Tamandua tetradactyla: one gene and its partners. The protein of the gene in region 2 purifies or fractionates together with the protein of the main gene of each other region. This does not show direct contact. Links are inferred from orthologs where the notes say so. Each region holds a gene or a part of one and is shown on either strand. Other genes may lie near its edges.

Evidence for each region.
Region 1: the proteins of KLHL22 (region 2) and NUDCD3 purify together in Homo sapiens (co-immunoprecipitation; 3 studies listed by BioGRID and IntAct, counting the BioPlex papers as one, with this or other methods). This does not show direct contact. The link is inferred for Tamandua tetradactyla from reciprocal best matches to the Homo sapiens genes KLHL22 and NUDCD3.
Region 3: the proteins of KLHL22 (region 2) and NIPSNAP2 purify together in Homo sapiens (co-immunoprecipitation; 3 studies listed by BioGRID and IntAct, counting the BioPlex papers as one, with this or other methods). This does not show direct contact. The link is inferred for Tamandua tetradactyla from reciprocal best matches to the Homo sapiens genes KLHL22 and NIPSNAP2.

Annotation. Positions count from the first base shown.
Region 1 is NC_135327.1:65,912,163-65,922,109, forward strand, and holds the start of NUDCD3 (nudC domain-containing protein 3), read right to left. Parts: upstream 4,428-9,947; 5' UTR 4,105-4,427; coding exon 3,913-4,104; intron 1-3,912.
Region 2 is NC_135331.1:27,298,115-27,307,779, reverse strand, and holds the start of KLHL22 (kelch-like protein 22), read right to left. Parts: upstream 4,355-9,665; 5' UTR 4,311-4,354; intron 302-4,310; exon of another isoform or gene 128-301; intron 1-127. UniProt on the Homo sapiens protein: Substrate-specific adapter of a BCR (BTB-CUL3-RBX1) E3 ubiquitin ligase complex required for chromosome alignment and localization of PLK1 at kinetochores.
Region 3 is NC_135349.1:18,620,860-18,631,205, forward strand, and holds the start of NIPSNAP2 (protein NipSnap homolog 2), read right to left. Parts: upstream 3,947-10,346; 5' UTR 3,895-3,946; coding exon 3,803-3,894; intron 3,487-3,802; exon of another isoform or gene 3,290-3,486; coding exon of another isoform or gene 3,276-3,289; intron 1-3,275. Other genes in the region: MRPS17 (small ribosomal subunit protein uS17m), read right to left, coding at 6,169-6,438, 7,810-7,932. UniProt on the Homo sapiens protein: Protein involved in mitophagy by facilitating recruitment of the autophagy machinery required for clearance of damaged mitochondria.

The DNA of each region.
Region 1 (9,947 bases), on a different chromosome or scaffold from region 2:
TAAGCACGTCTTTCTAAATTAAAAGATGTCTAACTAGATGGTCTTATCAGTCATTATCTTTACAGACCTCAAGTCTCGTACAAAATGCAAAGGAACAAACTGTTCTAGTATTCAAAATTGTAAAGATGCCAACAACTCCAACTCAAAAAAAGAAGATGAATATGTAACTGATCTTCAATCCACAAAATCAACCAAGCTTGCTTTACTACTACTATCTTTCCCATACTGCAAGGGCTGATAAGAGATACGTATGAGATTTAGAAAGCTTGGAAATTCAATTCAGCAGACATCTAATATTTGCCTACAATGTGGAAGGAGTACAACAAATCAAATGAGAGCTCCTATTCCTACGACTCAAAATTGTGGTGTGAATGTGGTATGTGCACAAGCAGCCCTTACCCTTTCCTGGGAAACAGTCACACCCATGAAAAGTATGGGGACATCTTCACCAAAAAAGTACATGTATAACATGACATTTCGTATGCACTATTCAAGGGGTACACATGACACCTGAAGTCTAGCAAAGTAAACCTTCACAAACAATTCTGGTAAAGAAAGGCTGTGATAAACAGATGTAATGTCTTATCAGTCTATAAGGATGGGAATGGGTATATCTGGTGAAAGTCCTCTTTCTTGGAAGGAAGGGGATCTGAACTAAACTTCGAATGAAGTAGAGCTTCCATAAGAAACTATAGGAGGAGGGCAGGCCACAGTGGCTCAGCAGGCAGGAATGCTTGTCTGTGATGCCAGAGGACCCGGGTTGGATTCCCGGTGGCTGACTATGTAAAAAAAATTTTTTTTTAATTTAAAAAAAAAAAACTATAGGAGGAAATGTCACTTTAGGATAAACAGATGAGCAACAAGTACCAAAAGTAGTGCCATCCAGAAACAGTAAAAAACCCTACAGTAGCTGAATCAACGGTCTCCTCTTACAAGGTTGGAAAGACAGAGATCAGTCTTGAAAAGTGGGCAGAAATCAGATTTTGAAGGGCTAGAATGCAGTCAGATATTAAGGCGTTTTATGCACCAGGAAGGAAAAAAGAAAAAAGAAAGTGCTAACATACTGTACTATGCCAAGGATAGTACTATGCCAAGGATTTCACATTCTGTGACAATCCTATGAGGAAAACAGTATCAATGCTTTAAAGATGAGAAAAATAAGACAGAGAAGTTAAGTTTGCTGACAGTCTTGCAAGCGAGAGAAAAGAATTCTTTAATTACAAGGAAGCACCAAACAGTGAGAGTAGTTACAGAAAGGGAAAACAAATAAAAGCCCTCAAGTTAAAAACTAGAAACAGCACCAAATTCATTTCTATTTTTTGGGATAACCTGAACCCAACTCTGCCCTCTAGAGCATCCACGTGTATGAGGCTTTGGATCCATTGACCAGACCACAGCCCATCAACATGCCAAATGCTCATCTTAATGCCACCAAAACAAAGCAACAGCAAGGACTCTCTTCATCGCATGTCTGGAGATTCTAATACAGGATGTCACCATGCTCTCCACCTTTGCTTACCTAGCACTTCCAACCTTCTACAACCAGCCCATCTGTGATCTCCAAACATGCTGCCCCACATCACTTCTGACCTCCCAATCACTATACTCTCAGTATTCATTTAAAATCACAGAATCGTACAACTTTCTAGAAGAGACATCTGTGGTCTTCCAATCAACCTTCTCAATCAACAAAAGTGAAGTAACTTTCCCAAGATTTTCCCAGTTCCCACCTCTGAGAGACAATTCCGTACTAGTACCAAGTTATTTAATCTAATTCAGTATTTTAATGCCCTACCCTACAACAAATGCCATGACCAATGTTGAAATCACCTTCACAAGTATCCTATCAAATGGGCTTCTGTAAAATAAAAGAACACATCCCCAGGCTTCACAATGTCCAGGCAATGTGTGCTTTTAGTTCCTCAGACACTTCCAAGTTAGGAACCACTACCAGAAATCATTACGCCCTCTTAACCATCATCTGAAAATTCTGTTCCTTGGTTTATGCAACACTTACTGCCCTGCTCACTTACTTCTCATTCCCTACTACTCATATGTCACCTCTTGCTTCTCCCATCTCTGAACTTCAATTGTTCCACAAAGGAACCAATTACAAGTCTTAGCCTAAAAGAGCGTTGAGAACAAAACACACATTCTATAAATGGTTAACAAATAAATTACCTGTCAGTTCACCTGTAAAATAAGGGCAAACATCAACCTTTCAGATTGTGGTAAGGATTAAATAACCTAACTTCCCAGAATGTAAAACATCAGCTATAAGTAGTACAGAATAGGTACTCAGGAAATGTTCCTTTCTCCTCCACTTCTCTTCTACAAGCTATAATCATCCCAGACAAAAACGCTCTTTCTGTACTGTAGAATGATTAAATGATAGAGTAGAAAGACTTGGAATCAGAAAACTGAAGTTTTGAGTTTCAGCTCTATGATGAACTAGCTGTGTGTCAAATAACTTGAACTCAGTCAATTGGAACCCTCATCTGTTACATAAAATTCAACCTTATATTTTTACAGGGACATTGTGAAGTTCAAATACCAAGACTCATGTGAAAGAATTAAACTGCTTTATGGTTCTGCTAAAAATTATCTCTATAGTGTTCCTTGATCACTTGGCTCACACTTATGCCACTGACAAAGATAAGAAAGAGCCTTAAGTTCTGAAACTGAACACCATTTGAGTCCCGACACTCAACTGACCATATAATCTTTGGTAAATACTCACCCCTTCAAAGCTTTTGTTTCTTCATCCAGACATTGAGCAAAATAATACCTGACCGACCTGCTTCAGCGATCTTGCAGTAAGACTTCAAGAGATAACATCCAAAAGCACTTTATAAACTGCAAAGCTCTAGATAACTGTGGGAGGTCTCATCATTACTATATTCTCCCGTTCCTATAAACAGATTCAAGCTTAGTGTATACCTTCAATAGTATCAAAAGTCCCACCTCTACAAAACTTTTCTTGATTTACAATCGTAGTTTATATTTCTTTCCTTCCGATAGCAGCGCCGTAAGTTCTATCACATAAATGGCTCTTGAATAGTTCTCAACTACTTTCTGTGCTTTTTCTTCTTAAACATAACAATTTAAATGTCACAGGAAGAAAAGATCATTAACAATACGTCATATTACCAGTACATCTCCAGTGCCCGTGGCAGCTGAGAATATAAAATACATTCAGTAAATACTTGCTTATTACTACATACAAAAATATACAATCAACTTCACTGAATATTAATAGCTCCTCAAACATTCAAGAAACGTATATACATACACAAATGCAAACTTAGTGATCACTGTTAATGACTGTTTCTGACCTAGGAATTCACATTTCAAACAAGGTGATCACTCCCAATTATCAACAGTTTCACAGCCATCCCTTCCACCTCCAATCTGGGTCGCGCGGATCTCTGTTGAAGCAAATTTCAAGTGCCTCCAGTCTGACCTAATATCTGCATTGTTTTCATTCCATCACTACCAGTTCCTGTCGCACTGGGCCCTAAAAAAACCTGTTTACTACATCTGACACCGAAGTATATCATGTATAAAACCTGGTTGCTTAAGATCCTATCACGGCTCCACGAAATAACCTGATACCGAGCAGCACTTCTGATTACAAAGAGCTTGCATGACTATTATCTCATCTGGTCATCACTACCACCTTGTCGGGTAGGACTCGGGAATCACCAAAAGAGGAAACTGTAGTTGGCAGAAGTAAATTGTCCCACAACATGAAAGAGGAGGGGGTAGAACGACAGCCAGGACTGGCCGGGAAGTTCAGGGCGCAGGTTCCCCGCCAGGCTGAGGCTGCCAAGGCCTTGCCGACCTCAGTGGTAGGCCACGGGGCGGAAGAGCAGACGGACAGAAGCCCGGGGCTGCCAGCTCCGCGGTTACCTGCAGCACCAAGGCCTGTGCCGCCCCCGGCGGAAAACCCATGCGGTCGGACGGGTGGCGCAGCAGGCGGTAGAAGTCGGTCTTGCGGTAGAGGAAACCAAAGAGGACGCGCAGAAAGTCCTGGACGTTGCCCACGTGCTGCAAGATACCCAGTAGGGCCTGGTCGTATAACTCCGTAGACCCAGGCTCCATGTCGTCGGACCAGCCAGGAGGACAGTTCAAACACTGCCTGGGTACGACCGACAGCGACCAGACCCAACAAGCCACTTCCGGCGTGCTGCAGCTAACTGCTCCTCCGGACAGCGCGGCCGCGGAATTTCTGGTCCGGACGCGGCTCCCCTTCCCCGGGCAAACCCGGAGCTGCGTTTTGGCCGCGAACCGTGGGCAAGGTCTTTACTTCCCCTTCCTGGATTGCTGGCCAGCCGACCATTGCTGAAAGAACCCGATACACGAATGGAAGCGCCTGCTAAATACAAGAAAGCCAGCTATTGCTGACGCCTAGTGACCATGTTTGAAATGGGCGGAATAGTGCTGAAGGCACAGGCATGGGGGCACAGGTGTCACGTGATCCATCAGTTTTTGTCGCATGGTCTGTAGGAGGCTTGATAAAGATAAGGGGGAATTCCCGCTTACATATCCCGAACCCCGTGGTTAAAGCTGGAACTGCTTTTGTTAGTGGGTCAGTTAGGGTAAAATGCGTGTATGTGGGTTGTGTACATTTCTTGTTAATGACAGAGTTGAAACTGAAATTCAAAACATTGCATAAGGAGAAATTCAAGGTGGCATATAAATAAAATGAGAAGAAAAGAAATGTGAAGTGAATGTAATTGTATATTAATTTAAAAGAGCATCTATTAATTTAGATGCAGAATTAGAGAATCCACTATGCCACCACTGTGAGATTATGTCATCTATGTCGTATGTATGTCATGGGTGCATAAGTATCTGTCAAAGTATGCTTTTCAAAAAGTTAAAAGCCTGACACATGCAAATATTAAATGAACAAATCAAGATTTCGTTCAAAAAAATAATGAAGAAGCAAGTAAAATGGTAAAGCTGGCTCAAAGAGCATTTCTTTTTCAAAAGCATTTTCAGGAACTGGGTATTTGTATACATTTTGAGAAAACAATGTTAGAGTAAAGTTATTAGGTTAGATGAAAAGGTGTTTGTTGTCCTACGTGATAATAAAACCATGGGGTTTTTTTTTTCTAGTAAATAGAAATGATTTACATCTATAATGAAGTAAAATCCATAAGTTGTATATATTCACAGTGTATGGGGCTCTAAGAAATTGTAAAGAACAAAGTCTAACCCTTACATTGTCCTACAGCAGTGGTTCAGAAATTATTGTCTTGGAACTTATTTGAAATTTTAAAATTTGTCAAGTGCTCCAAACAGGTTTTGTTTATGTGAATTATACCTATGGATATTTACATATTAGAAATTAAAACTGAGAATGTAAATATATATATATTTATGTATTCATTTTTAAATAATACTAATAAACATATGTGTGAAAATATTTTATGAAAAAAATATGGTTTCTCAGAGCAATGAAGATTTATTGAGAAGAGGAGCATAGTTTCACATTTTTGCAAATCTCTTTGATGCTTGGCTTAATAGAAAAACAACAGGATTCCACATCTGCTTTGCATTCACTAGGTCCAGTATTTTGTTCGGGTGAAGTATATGAAGAAAACACAGTCACGCATGTAGGTAGGTGAAAATGAAAGGAAGGTTTTAACTCTTTTCAAAAAAATGTGAATACTTTTTTCGATAGGCGGTACTTTCTTAAACATTAGTTGTAATATGGAATCTAAAACCACATCAATAAACATTTCCTACTCTGTAGCATTAGTATCTATTGGTCTAGCCTGCACTTTGAATGAATCTGTTATACATATGATTTTATTTACTTTTTTATTGTGAAAGATAACATACATACAAAAAAGTAATAAATTTCCCAGTACATTTTAACAAGTAGTGTACAACAAATTTTGAAGTTTGGAATGGGTAACGCTTCCATGACTTTTCATTTTTTCTTCTAGCTACTCCAAGTCGCTGGGGACCAAAAGGAATATCAATATGTTGATTCAGCAGTCATATTCGTTAAATCCTATCTTCTCTATTATATTCTTCCTTCTCTTTTTTCTTTTTTTTTGTGAAAAATAACATACGTACCAAAAAAGCAATAAATTTCAAAGTACATCACAACAATTAATTGTAGAACAGATTTCAGAGGTTAGTATGGGTTACAATTCCGCAATTTTAGGTTTTTATTTCTAGCTGCTCAAAGGTAATGGAGACTAAAAGAAATATCAGTATACTGTTACAGCACTCATATTCATTTGTTAAATCCACCATCACCTTCTATCTATAACTCCACCATCACCTTTGATCTTTCTCTCACTCTTTAGGGATATTTGGGCTAACTTTTTCATGTTGGAAGGGGCTATCGACAATATAGGATAGGAGGATGGAACTAGTTGATGCGCTGGAAGGGCTGGCCCCTGGGCATTTCAGGATTTATCTGGTCCAGGGACCCATCTGGAGGTTGTAGGTTTTCGAAAGTTACCCTAGCACATGGAAACTTTCTAGAATCTATTTAATGCCCTAGGTATTCTTTAGGATTGGCAAGAATGGTTTTGGTTGGGGTTTGGCAAGTTACGATGGTAGCAATGTCTAACTGAAGCTTGCATAAGAGTGACCTCTGACATCTTTTATTGCTCCGATGTGACCTCACTCTCTCTAAGCCCAACTCTGAAAGTGAAATCATTGCCCTCCCCCCTACATGGGACATGACATCCAAAGGTGAGAGACTCCCTGGCGGCATGGGAGGTGACTCCCAGGGATGAGTCTGGCCCTAGCAAAATGGGATTGACAATGCCATCCTGGCCAAAAGGGGGAAAAGAACTATAACAAATTAGGTATCAGTGGCTGAGAGAGTTCAAATAGAGTCAGGAGGCTACTCTGGAGGTTGCTCTTACCCTAACTTCAGTTAGACTTTGCTGCCTATCATAACTTGCCAAACCCCAACCAAAACCATTCCAACCAATCCTAAAGAACACCTAAGGCAATATACAAGAGTCTACAAAGGCTCCATGCACTAGGGTAACTTTCCAGAAACCTACAACCTCCAGATGGGACCCTGGACCAGATAAAGTCCTGAAACTAGAGGGGCTAGCCTTCCCAGAACATCATCTCCCTACCCTTTATTATTGACAGCCCTTCAAACATGAAAAAGGTAGAATGGGCATAGCCCAAATACCCCTGAAGAGTAGGAGAAAGATCAAACATGGTGGTGGAGTTAAACAAAGAAGGTAGCATTTAACAAATGAATATGATTGCTGAATCATTATATTGATATTTCTTTTAGTCTCCTGTATCTTAGAGTAGCTAGGAGTAAAAACCTGAAATTATGGAGTTGTAACCTATACCAAACTCTGAAATCTGTTCTACAACTAATTGTTGCGCTGTGCTTTGAAATTTATTGCTTTTTTTGTATATATGTTATTTTTCACAAGAAAGAAAAAATGGGATGATATATAGATATATTCCTTCTAGCCCCTAATGTCTGGCGCACCTAGAAGGAAAAATCTAAGAGGATCGTATGGTAACCCATGACAAACTCTGGGATCTGTCCTATAACTACTTGTTGAAGAGTGCTTTGAAAACTATTGTTTTTTTCCTTCTTTACTTTGTGTATATGTTATATCATTTAAAAAGTTTTAAAAAATTCAACAAATGGTGCTGCAATAACAGGATAATCACATGGAAAAAGAATAAAATATGACCACTGCCATACAGCATACAAAAAAAAAGTGACCTCCAGAGTAGCCTCTCAACTCTATTTGAACTCTCTCAGCCAATGATACCTTATTTCTTACACTTTGCTTCCCCCTTTTGGTCAGTATGGCACTGTTGATCCTATGGTGGGGGCCATACCCATATGATTTTGTAACATTATGCATTAGTCATTTTTTATATGTTGTTTCACTGTGTTATGCTACCTTTTGCTGCTTTTCCAAATGTTCACTTCTTTGGTTATGCAGTAGCAAACAATCACATTCAGTAATATCACCCCTCAGCTCTTCAGAAAAATTTTCAGTTATTAGGAAGCTTTCTGTCTAATTGAAGCAAGATGCAAATTTACTGAAATTCTAATTTTCACTTGGAAACTTGTTTCTTATTGGCCATAAATTCTGTCAGTTGTTTTCTGTGAAGTGGTAGATTCATTTCACTCCTCTGTCAGTCTTTCTTTTAACTAAGAAAATAGTATTCCATAGAAAAGTGTTCAACTTGTCAGCTGGCAACTCATTAGCACAAATGCTTATCCCTAAAGCAACCACTGTATTTCAGTATGGGGCAGGAGCATTTTACATGTACTTCTTTTTTCATCACATAAAATATTAAAAGGACTTGTCCTCAAGTTTAAAGATTTAACACGTTTCATAATTTTAGCACTTCAGCAGGGACAGTATTAAGTTAAACTCAATTCTTTTACAAGTTCAAGATAGTGAAAAATAAAGTGTTTACTAATAGAGTTTATATTATTCCCTTGATTTGTTCTAAGACACACTTTTATCCACCACTGTTTTGCATCATCATTGTAAATATCAGCATGGTAAAAAGGCAGTGCGGTACAACAGGAGCCAGAAATAGAACACCAAAAAAACCCAAGGATTACCAGCACTCAAAAACAAAACAGGCAGACTCAAGAAGTCAACAAGCTATAGTTCAGATGCAGCTTCATTCAGTGTTTTAACATAATTACATTACAATTAGGTAGTATTGTGCTGTCCATTTTTGAGTTTTTGTATCCAGTCCTGTTGCACAGTCTGTATCCCTTCAGCTCCAATTACCCATTATCTTACCCTATTTCTAACTCCTGATGGTCTCTGTTACCAATGACATATTCCAAGTTTATTCTTGATCATACATCTATGTGATGATATTAAGAATTACTGATTGCATATGTAGAATGGAATGATTTCTAAATGTTGTGTTAGTTAATTTTTTTAATTAATAAAAAAAATACATGTAAGTGCTAGGTCAGACAGGAAAAATTAAAAAATAAACAAACCAAAAACTAGGAGCAGCAGGAAGAAATGAATGAAAGCATTAGGTTCAAAAAAAAAGAAGTTAACAAGCCTTTCTGATAATCTTTTTTTATATATGTTTATTGAGAGATATCCACACACATAGAATCCAACCATATTATTATAATAAATGGCTCACAATATCATTACATAGTTCTGTATTCATCACCATGATCATTTTTAGAACATTTGTGTTACTCCAGAAAAAGAAGTAAAAACTCATACATCCATAGGCCTTACTCCTCTCACTCACTGACGCACAGTATTTCGATCTACCCAATTTTTACCCTTTATCTCCCCATTATTTGTTTATTTTTTCTTTTTTTTTTAATCATCTGTCCATAGTCTGGATAAAAGGAGCATCAGATGCAAGGTTTTTACAATCACACAGTGTCATAGTCAAGTTCATGTGTCAACTTGGCCAGATGGTGATACCCATTTGTCTGGTTAGGCAAGTGCTGACCTGTCTGTTGCTATGAGGACATTTTATAGAATTAAATCATGAGCACGTCAGCTGCATCCACAGCTGATTCTATTTGTAATCAGTCAAGGGGAGTGTCTTCTGCAGTGAGTGATGCTTAATCGAATCACTAGAAGCCTTTTAAGAAGGATTCACAAGAGACAGGCTCTCTTCCTGCTTCGGCCAGTGAGCCTCTCCTGAGGAGTTCGTCCAGACCCTCCATTGGAGTCATCAGCTTCACAGCCTGCCCTACAGATTTTGGACTCTGCGTTGCCATGGTTATGTGAGATACTTTTATGAATTTTATATCTACAGATATTTCCTGCTGATTCTGTTTCTCTAGAGAACCCTACCTAATAACAGCTTGGTACCAGGAGTGGTTCTTAAGAAACAGAATCTTAAAAATGGGTTTTTACAATTGGTTTTCTACTCTGATTGGATTCAAAGGCACTAAGGACTCTGATTTCAGTAATCAG
Region 2 (9,665 bases):
ACACGGACATCATCTTTACTACGTTGGAAATCGCAGGTTACCTTCTCACAACCGGGTCCCTATGTTAAAAGAATACAAACTGATTTGAACAGGAGCCTAGGAAATCCAATCAGTAAAACAAACCTACTGCCAACACACTTTTGCCATGGACTCTGAAGCCAAGCAGGACAGCCTGTGGACAGCAGGCTGCTCTGGGGCCCGCATTGCCTCCTCCAAGGCTGTGAACATCGCCTTCTCCACTGCACATCACTCCACCGCGCCCTTCCAAATATGTGGAATTCTTCTCCAATTCCCCACTATTCTTTACAAGAAAAATTGAAAAACGATTCTAATGTAAATGTGAAAAGAGGAGGCCTCCCTCCTCACCCCCCAAGCCCAGGAGCCTTGCTCTCACTCCCCCCTGCCTCCCTACTCCAAGGCCTGTTTGCTCTGAACACTCATCAGTGCCACTCCGGCCCCTCTCCTGCTTCCCATCAAACAGCCTAGTGGGATATGGATTAAAAATAAATAAATAATAAGGGGAACAAATGTTAAAATAAATTTAGTAGATTGAAATGCTAGTGATCAATGAAAGGGAGTGATAAGGGGTATAGAAAAAAATAGAGGAAACAAAGGCTAAAATATATTGGGTAGATGGAAATACTAGCAATCAACGAGAGGGAGGGGTATGGTGTGTGGTATATATGAGTTTTTTTCTTTTTTCTTTTCATTTCTTTTTATGAATTGATACAAATGTTCTAAGAAATGATCACGGTGATGAACATACAACTATGTCATAATATTGGGAGTTACTGATTATATACCAAGAATGGAATGATCATATGGGAAGAATGTTTGTGTTTGTATGTTGCTGTGTTTAAATAAACAAAAAACAGCCCAATGTGCGCTCTTTCACTGCCTTCCTGCCTCTCAGCGTGGGGCCTCCACCCATGTCCCTCTCCGTCCTCACCACCCTGGGCAGGCTCTTGCACCAAGGCTGCAGAGATGGCAGGGGCCGAGGTACAGCCACTGCCCACTTCTTCACCTGGGACTCTCCCTTGCCTTGAAACTGCCCCATGGCAATGCACCCTTCTCTCTGACCCTTCCCTTCACTCAACACACCATACTCCAGCCCACCCGGTTCCAAGAGCGTACCCTCACCTCAAACACACCTCCTCCAGCTCCACACCTGATCCAGCCAGAAGCCCTCCGACTGTTCTGGTTTTGTTACTGGTACAAACACCACCTTCTACGTCAGAAGCCCCACAGTCTCAATTATCCCGTCTCTTGAGACCAGAGCCTCTAGTTACGATTCTTCTCTAGTCCCTTGTCTCAGACAGTCACTCCCACATTCCACCCCCAGCCAGCACCTTCGTTCAACCCCTGCAATGACATCCAAACTTGTCTCGCTATCCTGCTGTCTGATCCTTTCCCGGTTTCCCCGCTCAGGCCACACGGCCGTCCCACGACGTCCCTCCTCTGATTCCTGACTTCTCAAGCATGGCCTCCTCCTAGTACCACTTGGGGCTCCCCAAATTTGGCTCAACTCTCCTTCAAGCTGTACTTCCGTCAACATCCTGTTGCTAGCTTTTAGACCCAAATGGACACCCATCACCCTCTGCCCGCCTTCACCTGCCTGCCTCAGTTTTTCTGTCTCTACAACCCAGAGCTGGTCAAGGTCTAGTTCAATCACTTCTCTCCCCAGGACAAAGAACACGAGGGCCACACTCCATCAATCACAGCAGGCTCACCTACCCAGGAGATTCCAGCTCCCGGACGGCTGGCGTTTTATCTCATGCACTTGCTCAGCCCAGGGCCAGCTGCACCACTTGCTGACAACATGACTCTGGGAACTTAGCTCCAAACCCCAAGCCTTGGCTTCCTCTTCAGTAGAGAAGACTGGCTGCAATCACAAACACCCAGTCCCCAGGCGGGGGCCCCACGCCACCTGGAGCACAGCAGCCCCCCATTCTTTGGAAAGGAAGAGGTGGAAGGCAGCTACCCCTCAATGCCTACTGCAAAAACAAGTCCACAAAACTGGGAGGCTGTTTCCTTGAGTAGGCCCAGCCCCCATTTAACAAGCACAACTTGAGGAACTAAGCTAGGTGTTCAGGGGTGTGTAAAGAAAAATGAAAGCATTCCCTGCTCAGAAGGCACACGACAGAGCGCAACATGTTCAAGACAGCATATGAGAACCCTCTTCGTAAAGCAAACACAAGCCACCCCAGAAACATCTGCCTTGGAGATTCAACAGAATACCAGAAGATAGTTTCAGTGAGCCAAGGAGAACTCCAACCACAGCAGTCAACACAGAAAAACCTCAAAGTCATGCAGAGAGAAACAGAGAGGGCACAGCAAATTGCACAATTGTGCCTACAAAAAGTTCGAAAACATGTAAAACAATGCTCTCCCTATATTGGTTACAGATGGATGTTATGATGGTATAAAACAGAACAAAAACATTGGAATGATAAATAAGATTCAAGGTCATGGTTACCTCCAGGAAGGACCAAAGGTTTTATTTCTTAAAAAAGAAAAGGCAAGACAAAGCATTAGGATTTGAATGGGACAGGTGGTGTATCATTCTCTGTATTTTTCTGTCAGCTTGAAATATTTAATAAAATCTCACTTATTTTTGAGTGTGTTAATACATTCACGTGATTCTAGTTCAAAAGGTACAGTAGAAAAGTATACCATGAAACTTAAGTTTTTCTTTCACCTACATCCTAACTAATCTTCTCCCACACGCAACTATCATTCCACTTTCCAGAAGGAAGGGGATGCACAGGAAAATATACCCTATTCCTGCACAGTCCATTATATGGAAAGCCATTTTTATTTGAACAATCCTCTGTGGAGGGGCATCTGGGTTTCCTGCAGTTTGTTATTGCAACCAGTTTGGCCCCGCAACTCAACTATGCATGCCACAACATACATGTGGCAGTTATCTGAGGGAAATTACTGAGCCACAGAACTACTGAGTCATTTTTACTTTAAAGTATATTTTTAATTTATTTCTTATTTTTGGGGTGCACAGCCTAAGAACTGAACCCATGTCTCCCACATGGCAGGCGAGTATTCTACCAGTGAACCACCTGTACACCGAATATTTTTTATTTTAAAGGATATTGTCAAACTGCCCCGCATACAGGTTATGCCAACTTATTCTCCAAGCAGCAAAGCACGAGAACCTGAGAAGCATGAGAAACTGCCTAACTCACCAATAGTGTTTCTTTATAGTCTTTGCTCTGACTGAAATGCAAAAACGCATTTCAGAGTTTTTACTATATAGTTTAATATATAGTAAATGTAGTTATACATATATAGATAAATTCATATTTCCACAATTGACAGCATTCTAAAAAAACAGAAAATTAAGCCAAATGCAGCACACCCTTTATGATTCCCTTCTCACACCTGTTTTCTGGAATAAAGACTGCTCTTCCAAGCTGAAGCTGTGGCACCCTCCCCTCCCGACGTATTTTACAAAGGACTACCCTGAGGCTCTTCCCCAGATCCCTCTAGCCAGATCCCAGATCCCTCCAGCCAGATCCCAGATTCCCACTCGATGCCTTCCAAAGTTTCAGAGAATCAAAGAGTAAGCCTTAGACCCCCATCAAGTACAGACTGGACAGAAAAATAATTATAATGAAGGTATGCCTGGCAGAAAGAATTTCAACTGCACAACCATTTACTGGGTCCTAAGGTGATCCTCCGAGGAGCCCCAAGACGAACCCCGGATGTAGGCAGCCTGCAGGAAGAGTTACAGCGATGGGCCAGGGGTACGCGAGGAGAGGACAGGAAGGGAGGCTGGGGGGGGGGGGAATCTCCCCGAAAGCGGGACCCCGCCTCGCGCCCCAGGACCTGGCCCCTGACGGCGCGGTCTCCGCGTCCCCTCAGGACCCCCACACTGAACCCCTCAGACGGTGGCCAGAGCGCGAGCGCGCGGCCGGGGAAACTGAGGCCCTAGGTGGCGTCAGGCCCCGCCCCGCGCCCCGAAGCCCCGCCGCAGCCGCCTGTTGCAGGCCCGGGGCGCCGCGGGGAAGGTCACGCTGAGGCCCGCCGCGGGCCACTGGCCTACCCGGCTGAAGAGGCCGCCCCAGGGGCCCCCGCCCCCCGCCAGCCCCCGCCGCCGCGCCCCCGCCGCGCCCCCGCCACGTCAGGCCGCGCGCTCGCCTCAGGCCGCCGCCCCCGCGCCTCAGACCGCGCCCGCCCCGCGCCCCTGTGCGCCCACACCGCTCGCCGCGGCCCTCCCCGCCCGCCCCCGCCAGTGTTCCCGGGCCGGCGCTCCCCAGCCCGCCGCCGACACCGCCCTGCGCCTCGCAGCTCACCTGGGGAGCCGCCGCAGGCCGAGGCCGACTCGCGGGGCGGGGGCGGGGCGCGGGGAGGGTGCGTCACGTGGGCCGCGCGCAGGCGCAGAGGCGAAGAGAAGGCCGGAGACAGGGGCTGGAGCCCGCAGCTGCTCCGCGGAGGAGGCCCCACCCGCACAGCGCCGGGCGCCTGGGGGAGCGCGCGGAGGATTGAGGACCACCGACCCCCGCCTGGCAAGGGTCCCTCAGCGTAAATCCGCGTCCTCCTCCCCCGCTCCTGCCCCCCTCACTCATCCATCACTCCCACCCTCCCTCCCTCTCTCATCCCCCACCCCCCACCCTCTTCACGCCCACCCTCCCTCCCGCTCACTCATTCATTCATTCCTTCTTTCCCTGCCTCATTCATTCCTTCCTCCACCAGTAGCCGAACCTCTAGGTGGATTTGGAGAAAGGAGACGCCTAAGTCTGGGCCAGGCCCTGGGAAGTCAGGTGGAAGAAACCTGTGTGAACAAGTTGTTTTATTTTCCTTTGACCTGGACTCTGGACTAAGTCCAGTTTCCAAAATCTCGGGCCTTGTCTCAGTCGTCCCGAGGGGACTCTTGGAGCTTGTTTTTCTCCACACCGCATCCAAGAGGGTCCGGGTCCTCCAACACCACATCTGATGGCCATGTGCAGATGTCACAGTGCAGGGTCTCAAGATAGATGGGGTGGGGGTGACCTATAGAGGGGGTGGGGTGAGGTGTGGACAGGGAGTGCTAATGGTTAAAAAGAAAGGGGGAGGGGAAGACAATAAATGAAAGAGGAATGATGTCCCAGAGAGTACCAGAGAACCCAACAGGGAGCAGAGATTCCTAATGAGTGCGTTCCTGGGAAGGCTTCCTGGAGGAGGTGACCCCTGAGCTGTACAACAGACGGAGACTTCTGGAGAGCAGGAAAAGCATTCCAGGAAAGGGGACAGTGTGAATGAGGCATGGAGGCAAGAACCAGCCGTGTGAGTGACTGGGAGGGCCCCAGGGTTTTCTGAGCCTGAAGGGAGTACTGGAGACCAGACAGGTTCCCCCTGGAGGCTTGACTTGACCCCGAGGGCAGCAGAGAAGCTGATTTGCATTTCATAGTGGCCTGGGCTGCACAAGCTGCTCTGCAGAGCAGGGACTAGGAGGCTGAGAGGCAGGAAGTGAGAACAGAGGTTGGTGCTGCTGGAAACCTGGGAAAGGGGCAAGTTCCAGGATATGGACAAATGATAGGTAAGTGGAGAGCCCGAAAGGAATGGTGGGGGACAGGGAAGGCAGAGCAGGAGCTGACTGGGAATAGAGATGAGGCCCTCTTGGCCCCAAGAAGTTTGAGGGGCCTGCCAATGCCATCTGAGGACCCCACTGAGGGGGAAAGTATGGGGTCAGGAGAAGTGGCTGAGGACAGAAGCATGGACACATCAGGAGCACCCAGAAAAAAGGCACCCACAGAGGTGACTGGGGATAAGGGCTGAGGACCACGTATCAAGAGAGACCCTGAAGAGAGAAGCAGCATGACCCCTGGATCTGCAACGATGGCAGAGCTGGCCTGCAAGGATGGAGGTGTGGCTGGGAAGATGAGAGGGACAGATGGAAGCCCATTCTGGGAGAGGGGAAGGGAGTACCTTCACAGGTGGGAGAAGGGGTCTGGTGGATGAAGAGGGTGGAAACAGGTGAGAAGTAGGCAGCCAGAGGAGCAAGGGAAGGGGCTGGGGAAAAGGGGACACATCTCTGAGCTGGAAGAACCATCTCAAAATATACCAGGTCAGGTCAGTGGTTCACCACTGGAAAGTTCTAGAGAAGGAAAGTGGCAGGATAGGAGGAGGCCTCTGTAGCTGTGGTGTGCAGATTTTCTGATATCCTCCCGTGGATGTGTGCACTTCCTAGGAACTCCTCTGAAAGAACTTCATCTGCTCCTCCACAGCTGTATCCCAGCACCCAGAACAGGGTCTGGTACTCAATTGGTGCTCGGTAAACACAAAGTGAGAGCATTGGAGCAGAGAGAAATGGGAAGCAGGGAGACTGGCTAAAGGATGGTTATAAATGACGGAAGACTTTCTAAGCCTCAACCCAGTGGAAGATATCACAAAGGAAAAGAGCAGCAGACCTGCCTGCAAAGCAATTTGATGGCAGTCAACTTAAAAAGAAGGCGAAGACATTTTTTTGCAACTAAATGATAACAAATGGCAGCCTTAATATCTAAAAAATTCATAGAAAACAGTAACAGAATATAAAGATTCCAATAGTTAAATGGGAAAGGACATGAAAAGTTAATACATGAAAGTGGAAGAATAACTTCATACTTCATAAATACTGTGAAGAATCATCACCTACTGGGACAGTAAAAGAAATGCAAATTACTGAATCAGTGACTATAATCTGCGATGTATACAACAGAAAAAAGATTAGTATCCAGGACCTCTAAAAATCAATAGTAATTAGAAAGACAACCAGCCAGAAAAATGGCAAAGGATATTTACTGAGCATTCCCAGAGAAGGAAGTACCCTGGTTGTAAACAAAGTAGAGTTCAGTCTCATTACTAATCAGGAAATGCAAATAAGTTGCCGCTTTTTGACACATCAACATGGTGAAATGTAAAGTGGGATGAAATCACGATTTGGTGAGTATGGGGAATATACATGTGTTCTAGTTTGCTAGCTGCCGGAATGCAATATATAGAAACAGAATGGCTTTTAAAAAGCAGAATTTAATAAGTTGCTAGTTTACAGTTCTAAGGCTGAGAAAATGTCCCAATTAAAACAAGTCTATAGATGTATAATTTAAGGCATCCAGGGAAAGATACCTCGGTTCAAGAAAGCTGATGAAGTTCAGGGTTTCTCTCTCAAGTGAGAAGGCACATGGTGAACACAGTCAGAGTTTCTCTCTCATCTGGAAAGGCACATGGGGAACACGGCATCATCTGCTAGCTTCTTCTCCTGGCTTCCTGTTTCGCAAAGCTCCCCAGGAGGCATTTTCCTTGTTCATCTCCAAAGGTTGCTGGCTGGTGAACTCTGCTTCTTGTGGGTATGTCGTTCTCTGCTCTCTCCGAATCTCTTTCTCCAAAATGTTTCCTCTTTTATAGGACTCCAGTAAACCAATCAAGACCCATCCAAATGGGTGGAGACATGTGGTCACCTAATCCAGTTTAACAACCACTCAACTAAATCACATCATCCAGGGAGATGATCCAATCACAGTTTCAAACATATGGTATTGAACAGGGATTATTCTACTTTTATGAAATGGGATTTTGATTAAAACATGGCTTTTCTAGGAGGCATACATTCTTTCAAACCAGCACAACATGTGTTGCTGATGGGAATGTTGATTGGAACAGCCAATTCGGACAGTGTAGTGGTTTTAAAATACATCTGTAAATTCTTTACCTCACCTCCTGTGCTGGTTTGGAAGCACCCAGAAAAGCTATATTCTTTTAACCCAATCTTGTGGGGGCAGACCTATTGTGTGGGTGGGACCTCTTGATTAGATTGTTTCCATGGAGATGTGAACCTACCCATTCAAAGTGGGTCTTAATCCTTTCCTGAAGCTCTTTATGAGAGAAAACTCTGTGGACACAGAAAGTAGAAAGACACAGATGCTTGGAGACAGACAGAATCTCAGAGAGTAGTTCACCAGAACCTGGAGCTGAAAGCAGTAAAAGCAGGGAGAAAAGGGCTGGCAGATGTCACCTTGTGCTTTCCCATGTGACAAGAGAAAACCCAGATGCAATCAGCCTTTCTTCAGTGAAAGTATCCTCTTGGTGCTGAAATTTGGACATTTTCATGGCCTTAGAACTGTAACTTGTAACTCAATAAATCTCCACTATAAAAGCCAATACATTTTCAGTGTCTGCCCATGCAAAAAAAAAAAAAAAAGGCCAATATGCTTCTGGTATATTGCATTCTGGCAGCTTTAGCAAACCGAAACACCTCCTTTCGAAAGGTGAGACTCACTTTCACTCCCCATGAATACTTCCAAATGATAGAATGAGGACAAAGTAATGGCATGTCATTTTCAAGGCCAGATGATAACCAGGCATTGCAGCTTCCCTCTTGTTCTCTGTTGCATTGCTCATTCTGTGGAAGTGAGCAGCCATTTCGTGAGGACACCCAAGCAGCCCTGAGGAGAGGTTCCCGTGAAACAGGTCTCCAGCCAAAACCAGCTTTCCAGCTGAGCCATCTGCCTGGAATCAGATCTTCCAACATCAGCAAAGTCTTCAGGTGATGGCAGCTCTGGCCAGCATCTCCCTGGAGCTTCATCATGAGAGGCACTGTTTCAGAAGCACCCAGCTAAATCTCTCCTGAATTCCTGAAGCTCAGAAACCATGAAGCACGAGCATTTATTATTGTCATTTCAAGCCACTTAGTGGTGTAATTTGTTTTTGAACATTTGCATCTCCCCAGCAAGAGAAAGAAAAAAGAGAAAACTCATATATGCCATACCCTGTCCATACCCTGGATAAAAGGAGCATCAGACACAAGGTTTTCACAATCATACAGTCACATTGTAAAAGCCTTATTATTATACAGCATCTTCAAGAAACATGGCTACTGGAACTCAGCTCTACAGTTTCAGGTACTTTGCTCCAGCCACTCAAATACACCATAAACTGAAAAGGGAATATCTATATAATGCGTAAGAATAACCTCCAGGATAACCTCTTGACTCTGTTTGAAATCTCTCAGGCAGATTTTAAATAAAATGTAAAATGCCTCTGCAAACCAACAATTCCACTTCTGCATAATATTCCATCTTATGTAAATGTCACAGTTTGTTTAGCCAACTGTCTGTTGATGGACATTTTGGCTGTTTCCATCTCTTGGTAATTGTTAATAATCCTGCTATAAACATTGGTGTGTAAATGTCTATTTGTGTCCTTGGCCTCATGTCCTTTGAGTAGAGACGGCATATAGATGGGTCCTGTTTTTAATCCTTTCTGCCAGACTATGTCTTTTGATTGGAGGGTTTAATCCATTAACATTCAGTGTTATTACTGCATGGGTAGTACTTTCTTCTACTATTTTGCCTTCTGGATTTTATATGTCCTATCTAATTTTCCTTCTTTTTACCTTTACTCATAGTCTTCCTTTCTACACTCTTCTCCACACCTCGCTCTTCTGTCTTCGTATCTGTCTCTAGTGTTCCCTTTAGTATTTCTTGCAGAACTGGTCTCTTGGTCACAAATTCAGTGATTTTTTTGTCTGAAAATGTTTTAATTTCTCCCTCATTTTTGAAGGACAATTTTGCTGGATATAGAATTCTTGGTTGGCAGTTTTCTCTTTTAATAATTTAAATATATTATCCCACTGTCTTCTGCCTCCATGGTTTCTGCTGAGAGATCTGCACACAGTCTTACTGGGCTTCCCT
Region 3 (10,346 bases), on a different chromosome or scaffold from region 2:
AGTCAGGCCGAGTCTCCAGAAGTCCTCCTGCCTCCCTTCAGGCTGCTATTGCAATGCCACCCACAGCACCCATGAAGGCAAATCCAGTTTCCTTCTGTCACCTTCCTTGACTTCACAGCAGCATCTGGCTCCTTGAAATATCTTCTCCTTGGGCACCATCCCCTAACAATGACCCATCTCGCTGCTCTTCCCCAGACTTCTCTGCTAGCTCCTCTTCCTCCATCCAGCTTGTCACTCTTGGCTCCTCCCAGGACTCCTTTCTCAGTCCCTTCTCTTTCTGCCTTCTCTCCTCAAGCAACTGCATCCATTCCTCTGGCTTAAAAAAAAAAATCTTATGATGAAAAGTTTTGAACAAAAACAGGAGAGAGAACAAAATAACAAAACCCATGTACCCATCACTACTTATCAACACTTTTGGCATTTCCTATGTGCTGAAAGCTCCCAAGTGTCACCTGTAGCCTAGACATCTCTAAGCTCTGGGTCATAAAGCTAACTGCCTACTAGGTGTGTCCATGTGAATAGCTTGCAGCCATCTCAAATTCTACCGGAATCAAAACTGCCCCAGATCCGTCTTTCCATACCACCTGCCCTGCCCCCTTGCTCTGCCCTGATCCCTGTTCTGTGATTTCCTAGCAATCAACCTGATGGCAAAGACCATGTATGCCTTACACACTGATGTTCCCCAACAGTGCCAGCACTTGGTGGGCACCCAGACATCTGTGAAACAAACACCTCTCAGTAAACAGCACCAACATCTTAGCAGGTGCCCATTACCTTTGATTCTGTAGCCTCTCCGAAGTCAGGCTGATCACTTTTTTGATTCAAAAGAGTTATTTTGTAAGTTTAAGATTGAAGGTGTACTTCAGAAATAGTCTGAGAAGCAGGAAAAAGATTTACCTATACAATAAGGTAGTTAGAAAAAAATCAGTCATTTTTCACATGGGATGTCACTTTAGCTGTGATATGAAAAACTGATTTTTTGCACTTGCTTAGTACTCTAAGGAAGTTGTAGGGGTCTATTAGAACATGAATGAAGAAATAAAGCCGGTCATATCCAGATGGGTCATACATGTTCTTTAGGGATATTTATGGCAGCCTGAATAATTGGTTTTTGTTGTTTGTTTCTCTAAATGAACGAATTCACCATCCATAGACTGCAAGACTGTGTACCAAGTTTTAACAGTAGTAAGAAGAATTCATGACTGATGTGAAGATGTAACAGATTTGCACATACAAAGTGAATGAATGTGGCAGCCATAGTGATCTCAATTAAACAGGATAAACAATATACCTGACTCACGAAAGTTACTTTGAAGGCTGCATATGTGAAATCAAACATACCATTTGGAATTGCTTTTGGAGACTATGTGGTTATTATAATTCCTGGTCTAATTTTAACATTATCAGTTCCCTGGAAATGTTTAAAAATGAAAAACCCATGTCTTGACTGAAGAGTCCATATTATCTGAAAATTTAATGTTCAAAATTTTTATGACTAAGCACTTAATACCTTTTGATATCTAGTATAACAATTCAGTGGACATTTGGCTAAATATTCTACTAGCGATTTTGGTACTATTAAATTATTGATCACAGTGTATGACTTTTAAAATAAAGCTGAATTCAAACTTAGTTAATATTTATGATTTTTTTAAAAGTTAGAAAATATACATATACATTTATATATACATATAATATACAAATAGGATTGGTCTTAAATTTTTTGTTTTCTTCTACTTAAGTCCATTTTTATAATTTGTATTTTTTCTAGGAAAACTCCAGCTCTTCATTGATTCAGTCACTCTCTCATTCATTTAACAAATATTTTCTGGTTTCTTACTGTGAGAGGCTGATCTTTTAAAAACACAGATCAGACCAAGCGACACTAAATTTTATACCTTTACATGTCTTCCATAGCTCTTGGAAAAAGTCCAAGCTTCCAGGCAAGACCTGGAGTCCTCTGGCCACTGCTCCCTGCCACCTCTCCTCTGGCCTGTCGCCTTCCATTTGTTCTTGAACTCTAGTCCTCTACACTCTTCTTGGGTTTCCTTCCTACTCAGATCTGTCTGACTCAGGTCTCAGCTTAACATCCTTCCATGATCTCACGTGGCAGATTCCCCAATTCTCTCTTAGCATGTACCTCAATTTCTAAGTCTATGTGGATTTTTACCACCTACCATGGATCCCTTGGGACAGTGACTGTGGCCATTTTGCTCACTGTTGTAGTTCCATATGGCTCCAAGTACATTGTGTGAGCTCACTATGTGAGGGGATGAGTGAATTAACTGGGTCTAGGCTGAGGCTCAGAGAATACTGCCTGTCAAGGCAGACTAGAGGCCAGAATAGAGTGGCAAAATGCCCAGGAGATCTCAGAGTGTTCTTAGAATAATTAGAGAACCAACAGGTCAGAAATACACAAGGACTCCAGTGTCAACAGCATGTGGCCTCTGCAGGAAGTGGGGGTATCAGACCCAGGTCCAAATCTCCAGTTTACTAGCTCTGTGACCTTGAACACCTTAGGTGAACACATTCTAGGCTGTCTTTTGAAAAGTGGACAATACCAAGTTCCTGGGTTTGTATTATCTGTGTGATAAGGCACACCATGAATGCTCAATAACAGGAAAAAAAAAAGGAAGCTGTTGTTAATCAGTTTGAAACCATAAATATCAAATTTAAAGAATTTAGAAATTCAAGGCGAACCTTATGTTAGGAAGGGTGCTGGGTCTGAGGCCTGAGAAATTTGGATTCAAATGAATTTTCTGGCTATTTCTCCCCCTCTCTGAGGTTCCCTCTCCCCATTTGTAAAATGTAGATTCTACAATTTATGTTTTAAGAATATGATTAGGATTAAATTTGCCATTTTATCTAAAGCTTCCTGGCCTATATTAAGAGTTTCACAGGTAGTTCTTTCGTTTTTCCCCAAGTGCCAACTATACTTTGTAGAGGATGGTAATTTAAAAAGTAACATTTAAATCACCCAGGTAAAGAAAACGAGAAAACAAAGCAAATCTATGGTAACTTACTCTAGGATTTAGTTTTTGAATTTGGAAAATGGGAGGTGGATATGGATATAGACGGTAGATTCAGAAAAACGAACAATTACTCCAACGAGGTTTGGGAAAAAAACTTTAAACATGACCTCAATGCCTGGTGCTGACAAGTGTATAATACTTTTTGATCCACTCACTATCTCCTTTAAAATCCGAGGCAAAAAGACTGTTCATAACGCTATCACGCCCTAAGATACGCCCCCCCCGCCCCCACTGAGGGCTCACCGGGGGCGATGCATTATTTTATTTCATGCTCGCCACAACCTAAGAGGTGTCATCCCTGCGGCCGCTTTGCAGGAGCACGCAGCGAGGCTCTGGGCAGCGAGCAGCTTTCTCAGGCTGCAGGCGGAACCCGCAGGGCGAGTCCAGGGCCTGCGGCCTCAGCCGTGGCCGGGCGCTCCGGGTCAAGATCCCGCAGGCCCGGCCATGGCGGGCGGGCGGGCGGACGTGGCCTCCGCGCCGGGCAGCAGGGGCCGTCCCGGGCGGAGGCGGGGCTGCGCGCGGTCCGTCCCCGTCGTGACCTTGAGCCCGGACGGCAGGGAAGGCACTCAGATCCTGCCGAGGCTCCGGCCCGCCGATCCCGCCAGCCGCAGCCTCGCCGCCGCCGCCGCCGCCGCCGCGCAGCCTGGACCGCCCTGTCGGGTGAGGCACGCGGCCGAGCCGAAATGGAGGCCCCCGCCAGGGACCCCCGCGCCCTGCGCCCCACGGACGGCCCCTCCCTGGTCGCTCCCGGAAAAGGCGGCGCTGCTCACCGGAGCTCGGGCAGAAGGCTGCGGGGAGCGGCCCGCTGCAGGAGGCCGCCGGCCAAGGCCACTCCGGCGGCCCGTAGCACTCGCGCCGCCATCTTGCTCCGGCGCCTCGGCTCCCACCGCCCGGGCGCCGCCGTGACGCCGCCGAAGCCGCCGCCACTGCGACCCCTCCCCCGGCCGGGCGGCCGACAAGGCTGGGGCGGGGCGGGGCGCGCGACCGCGGCAATGCGGGGCGCGGCCGCCAGGGGGCGCAGGGCGCGCGGCCGAGCCCGAGGCGGGACGCTGGGCGGTGGGTCGAAAGTAGTCGGAAGCCTGAAAAGCACCGCCTGCCGAACAAGATCTTGCGAAAGCTCTCGGTGCCCAGAAGGGGGTGTGCAAAGGGAACACGAGCATGGCTTGAATATGAATGGAAGGATTCACAAGCAGAGTACACCGTTGCCTGGCGGAAGCGGGAGGCCGAGCGACATGTGTGGGTGGGTGGTTTCTCCCCGAATATCTTTCGAATTTGGTGCCATGTGAAAATTACCTTTCCAAAACATAATCAACACTTTAGTAAAAGGCATTTTAGATGGGAACTTACTAAAATACTCTCGCAGTCTTGTGACTACATTGTTCCTGTTCACTTCAGCACCCATGGGCTCTGGCCACCGAAAGACCCCCGTCCCTGTCCTCACGCGGCCACTCTAATGGGGACAGGATGTGACCTGACGAGTGTGTCAAGTGCTGAGATGGAAAGGTTCACAAGACGCGAAGGAAGCAAGAAAGCGCAAGTGACCGAGGGTGGCTGGGTGGCGGATAGACCACGGGAAAATTCCCAGGGCTGCTCCCCTGCGGAAGAAGGGAAGACATCCCTGTCAGAGGGCACAACGTGAAGAAGCGTGTGCCCGGGAGACACTGTTTAAGGAAACCGTATCCCGTGGGAAAATAAGAGTCACCGATGTAGCCATGAAAAACTGCGGCAAAGATAAGTTGGGCAGAAAACGTTAGATCCTCAGAGGGGGCGTGACAGGGAAAATGCATTTCAAGGAAGCAGTGGGCTGGGGAGAGAACAAGAGGTGAGTTCCCTCCTGAGTTGGCCACTAGGTTTCTGTATCTGGGCAGTGGGGAGGGGAACTGGATTTGTGGATTGAGGGCTGCCCTGAAGCTGGGAATCTTGGGGATGAAGGGAGGGTGGAGGCTTTTGGACTAGGCAGAATTTGAACACATTAAAAGGACAAGGAGCCACCAGGCAGGAAAAAGTTGTGGTTGGAGGAGTGGCTGGGGAAGCATCTGTCTCCTGGAAGCCAGAGGCTGGTGCTGAGGGACTTCTTGCCTTCACCGGGTCTTGGTTAGAGGGGCTACAAAGGCTGGATAGGCCCCAAAGGAAGGCTGACCCAAGCTGCCCCCAATTCTCCAGAGCAGGAGATGGGGCCTCAAGCTAGAGGTGTCCAAGAGCCTGTGGCTTACTTACACATTTTCCCCACCATTCCCCTACCCATGTTTGTTGTGAAGGCACCCGTGCCCACCTCCTGCTTTAGACTGTAAGCCCTGAGGGTGCCCGTGGTTACTGTTGAAACACTGTGAGGACAATAGGCCTATTTGCTGAAGTTGAAATTTATGCTCTAAGTCTCTTTGTAGGAACCTGAAAACTGAAATATATAGTTAAATTTTTCCTCAGGTCAAAATCTAAGTCATCACAGTTCATTAAAGAATAGCAAAAATGCAGATACTTTCCAACTCAGATGCATGGGAGAAATCCTACAACTTCATTAATGTGTCAGATTTTAAGAACTCATGCCTATTTAATCTAGCCTAGGATCTAGGATCTAGGACATAAAAAAACTGACACAGAATTCTTACATTTTATTTTCTACTTGCTAACATCTTTATTAATACAGCTTAATCTGACAAAGTCTGACCACGAGCATGTTGGTTATTTCTCTTTGGAATTGGTGAACTCAGAAAAAAAAAAAAAGAATTCTGAATATAGACCATAAAAAAAAGACAAAAACAAAACACTTAGTGTGATCTAATCTTTTTATAATAGCAATAGTTTTTCTTCTCCCAAAATAAAAGTACTGAGATAAATTCGAGATTCCTTAGAATGAAAAAAATAATACACCCTCTAAAGCAATGAGCTTGCAAAATGATGCAGCAAACTGCTAGGCACACAGTTTAACAGGAACTTAATGTTCACTGAAAAAAGAAATTGGAACTCTGACCATAATCTTTATGAAAATTTATAACAAGCCCTTTACCAAATTTACTTTTATTGACTTCATAAATATCAGAAGAACAACTGGACACAGTTTAAGATGAGAGTTAGCAAAGTTTCTTTTTCCATAAAACAAACTTGTCTTTCCCTTTGGCAGCTTTTCTCCAATTCTCTTTTATTGTGTTGAAGAGACACTAAGTTCTTTGAGATTTTTGCTTAGGTGGGTGGTTTCCAGAGTGACTGGACTCTCCAGGTACGTGGTTCCTGCACAGGGTTTTCCTGTCACTGGATCTATGACTTTTCCCACTTTGAAAATGATCTCAGCTAGTTCATGCTTTACGTGCTTTGTTCGTGGAACAGGTAATGCTTTGAGAAGCACGATATCCCCAACAGTGCACTGCTGGAGGGCATCGTGAGCAAAGTAGGTTTTCCGCTTATTAAAATACTGTTGAGAGAAGGAGATGAACAAATTAGTAGCACACATCTGTGATCTGGCAATGCAATATGGAATAAAAGGTAATGCACAGAGAGCAAACTGGGACTTGGGAAAAGAAGATACTTAGCTGCTTATTCTTTGGAAAACACCAATGACTATTCCAGAGCTGATCCTATCACTGAACTTGCTAGGACCCTTGCTCTATCAGTTATCATCTCTCTCGAAATTATTTAAACTTTCCCTTCCCATTGGGAGCCTTCTCTCCAGCCTATAAAGATGCTATTCTTATCACAAGCTGTATGATTGGGACATAATCACTTAATCACCCCAATCTGTCCCCCCCCACCCCAATAAAAAGAGCTCTAATAGCTGCATCTATAAAGTTATCATGAGGATTAAACGTTGTATGTAAAGAACTTAATCCTATGCTTGTCTCAAAGTGTTTAAATAAGCCATAAATGATAATTAGAATCGCCAGACTCACAACCATCCTGCCATAGCAGGTATTTGTGCACATTAAGTAAACTCAGGTCTTCTGCTTCTAAGGCTAAAATCAAGCTGTCACTCTTCTGCTTGCTCCTGGGTTTTAGAGTCTAAGTTAAGAACAGCATTTTTGTTCACCCAAGCTGGAATGCTGAACCATCTTTGGTGTGTCCCTCTTCCTTGTACATCTAAGAAACCAATGACTCTTATCCCTTCTTCCTAAAATCTACTCTTGTCACACCAGCCCTGTTGACTCAAATTTTGTTCAGATCCTCATCATTTCCATCCTAGACTTTCGCAATAACCTCTTTACTGATTTCCTTACCCCCATCCTCCATCTCTAATTGTCTCCAAGCCTATCTTTCCTTTGCTTTTAGAATGAAATCTGAACTTGTAAACACAACACACAAAAAAACTTCATGGTCCAGCTTCGACTATCCTTGCCATTCATTCAACCAGTCTGCCTACCAACAGTCCACTCTCTGGGTCCACCCTGCTGGATCAGGCCCTTTCATGGCCAAATGAAAGTCCACATACTAATCATGGCCAGAACGACTTCCCTGACTTGGTTCTCTGGATAAAATCCTATTTGAGATTCAGCTCAAATGTCTCTTAATCAAGGATGCTCTTCTCCAGCAACCTGGGAGGAAAGAATGACATTTCCTATTCCCTATCTCACAGTATTTGCATATAGAATGACCACAGCAGGCATTGGACTGATTTGAAATTAACTCTAGGTCTCCCCAGAATGTAAGTAAGGCCCACGACCAATTCACCTGGCATACACATAGGCTACTCAGTGTTTGGCAACAGCTGACACATCTTTAGTGGTAGAGAAGTGTTTTTCTACCCAGGTTCTAGGAACATGTGGGTGCTGAAAGCAGGGATGCTCCTCACCTTTAATAAATAGTTATCCAGAACAAGCCTGGTCACTCTCACTTTAGCAGTTTTTTGCATTGCTGTCCCAATCACCTTCCCCACGATCCATTTGGCATGGACAGAAGAGCGAGCTATTGACATTATGAGGTTTTGGTCACCTGAAAAACAAGTTCCAAAACTAAGAATAGGGTGCTTATGACTCGCCAAATGACTTTTGTCATTAGAACTGCCCAAATTCAGAAACAGCTTTTGTTCGTCTTTTGAAATCACTACTTTCCTACACATTCCACTATTTCCTTAATCATCCAACCTCCCATTTTTCTACTCTTGGCAAATCAGTAAGTTTAATCTCTCAGCCTCAGTTCTCTCCTCTGGAAAATGGGGATAAGGGAGCCTAAACGAAGGAATGCTTTGGGGATTTAACCGGTAAAGCGGTCGTTAATGCGAATAAACGTTGGCCTTTACTGGTGTTTCACCTTTTCACATCTCGCCGGGTTGACGCTGCCAGAAGGCTCACAGCCTGTCTCCCTCGAACGCCCCCATCCCCGCTAGATATGCGGCTTTGAGGATCAGTCAACGCTGAGCCCACCCCGCCCGGCCTGGGGACGGCTGGGAGCGATCCCTCCATCTCCCCTTCCTCGGACAACCTCGAGGTCACGCGGAACTCGACGCCTCAGCCTCTCCCGGGACTCACGAGCTCCCGAAATCCCCTCTCGGAGCAGCGACCTCCAAAAAGCGCTCACCTTAGGAACGGAGTCTATCCTGTCGCGCGGCCGGGGAAGCGCCGGCTGGAGCGTGATGGCGTCACGCCGCACAGACCGCTGTGCGTCAGACCGCCCCTCTCATTGGGCGTGGGAGGGGTTAAAGGGCTCCAACCACGCCCCCTCTGGAGAGCCCTGACCTTGGCATTCAGGGTGACCCTAACTTCTTGTCCCGGCGCCCGGCGACCAGAGGTCGGCAGTAGGGAGTGGGCGGGTGGGTCTCCTGTCTCTCCTATTCCATTCGGTTTCCTCTTCCGTTGTCTTCCAGGCACTGGAGAAGGCCTTGCAAATTATAGGAATTTCATTCATTCAACAAGTTTTCTAACATCAATACTGCTTAATACTGAAGCTGATTTTCTTTAAAAAAAGAAAAGCCGCTATTTTCTTTTTAAAAAAAAAAGTACTGTGGTAACATATACATAATACAAAGTTTGACCTTTAATCACTTTTAAGTATATAATTCAATGGCATTAATTACACTTACGATGTGCTACCAACACCACCATCTATACCAAAACTTTTTCATCACCCCGAACAGAAACTTTGTGCCCTACAGGCGCTTTTAAGAGCAAAAATTGTAGACTTTTTGTTCCGTATGATTTTACATGTTATTTCTCAATATCAGTGAGAAGTAAGGAAGTTGGGTGTGGGTACATATACAGGTGTTTGCCAGTTATGAATGAGTTTGTTGGGGATGAGGAGACTGATGCCAGGGATACATTAGACTCTTGTTTGGAAATTGCTAAGAGGAACAGCAAACAATAGGCTACTGGAACAGACCAAATACGGTTGGGGTCAATCTACCCTGATCACTGAAACATCTTTGCAACTAGTGAGGAAAGACTGGGAACATAAGAACTCATCCATATATCACTCTGTCCGACACTTTTTTTTTTTTTTTTAGCAAACATTTATGAAGCGCTTACTTTGTGCTAGGCACTGGAGGGTTAAAAAAAAAATGGATAAAATGAGGGGCCCCACCCTCAAAGAGCCCACAGTCTAGTAGGGGTATATAATATGTCCTGGATCCACCTATGTTTCTTTCTATTTTCAGCCAGTCACCACTTCTTCCCAAACACTACTTCCATTATATTCAACTCATTTTCAAAAACACTTTAGGGCTCTCATGTATCACTAGGATAAGTTTTAACCAAATGCTTTGGACATTTAAGATCCCTGCCTCATATATTCAATCTTGCCTTTCTCTGTACCCTATCTGGAATTCCCCACTCCAGCTGGAATGGCCTCCTCATGGTACCTAGATACCATGTTCTCTCCTACCCCATCTTTGCTTCTGGTGTCCTCTTCCCTGAGAATGCCTTTCCCTTGCTCTTCTAATTGTTCAAATCCTACTTGTCTTTAAGGTCCAGCTCACACCTCACCAGTCTCAGGAAGCATTCTTTGACTTTACACCATCACTCATTTTTTGCTTAGCATGTGTTTATGTTATTTAAATATTTTTGAGTGTAAAATAACAATTGCAATTTTTATTTGTTTCTACAGACTAATGCCCAAAGAGACTGTAAACTACATAATGGTAACCATATGTCTTAAAGGGTTTTTGTTGTTGTTGTTCTTGGTTTTGAGTCCAGAGCGGCCAGTACTACCTAAGAGCATGTTAACAGCCCCTTGATAGCTAAGTTAATAAATAAGGGAGGATCTGGGGATATTGAGACAGAGGAAGAGGCTAGGCAAGTGGAGTCCTTTCTTCACTCAGGAGGAAAGGTCGAGTTTTCTGGCGCCCCTCTCAGAACGGGGCAGTCTTCAAAGCTATGGCTTTGAAACTTAACTTTA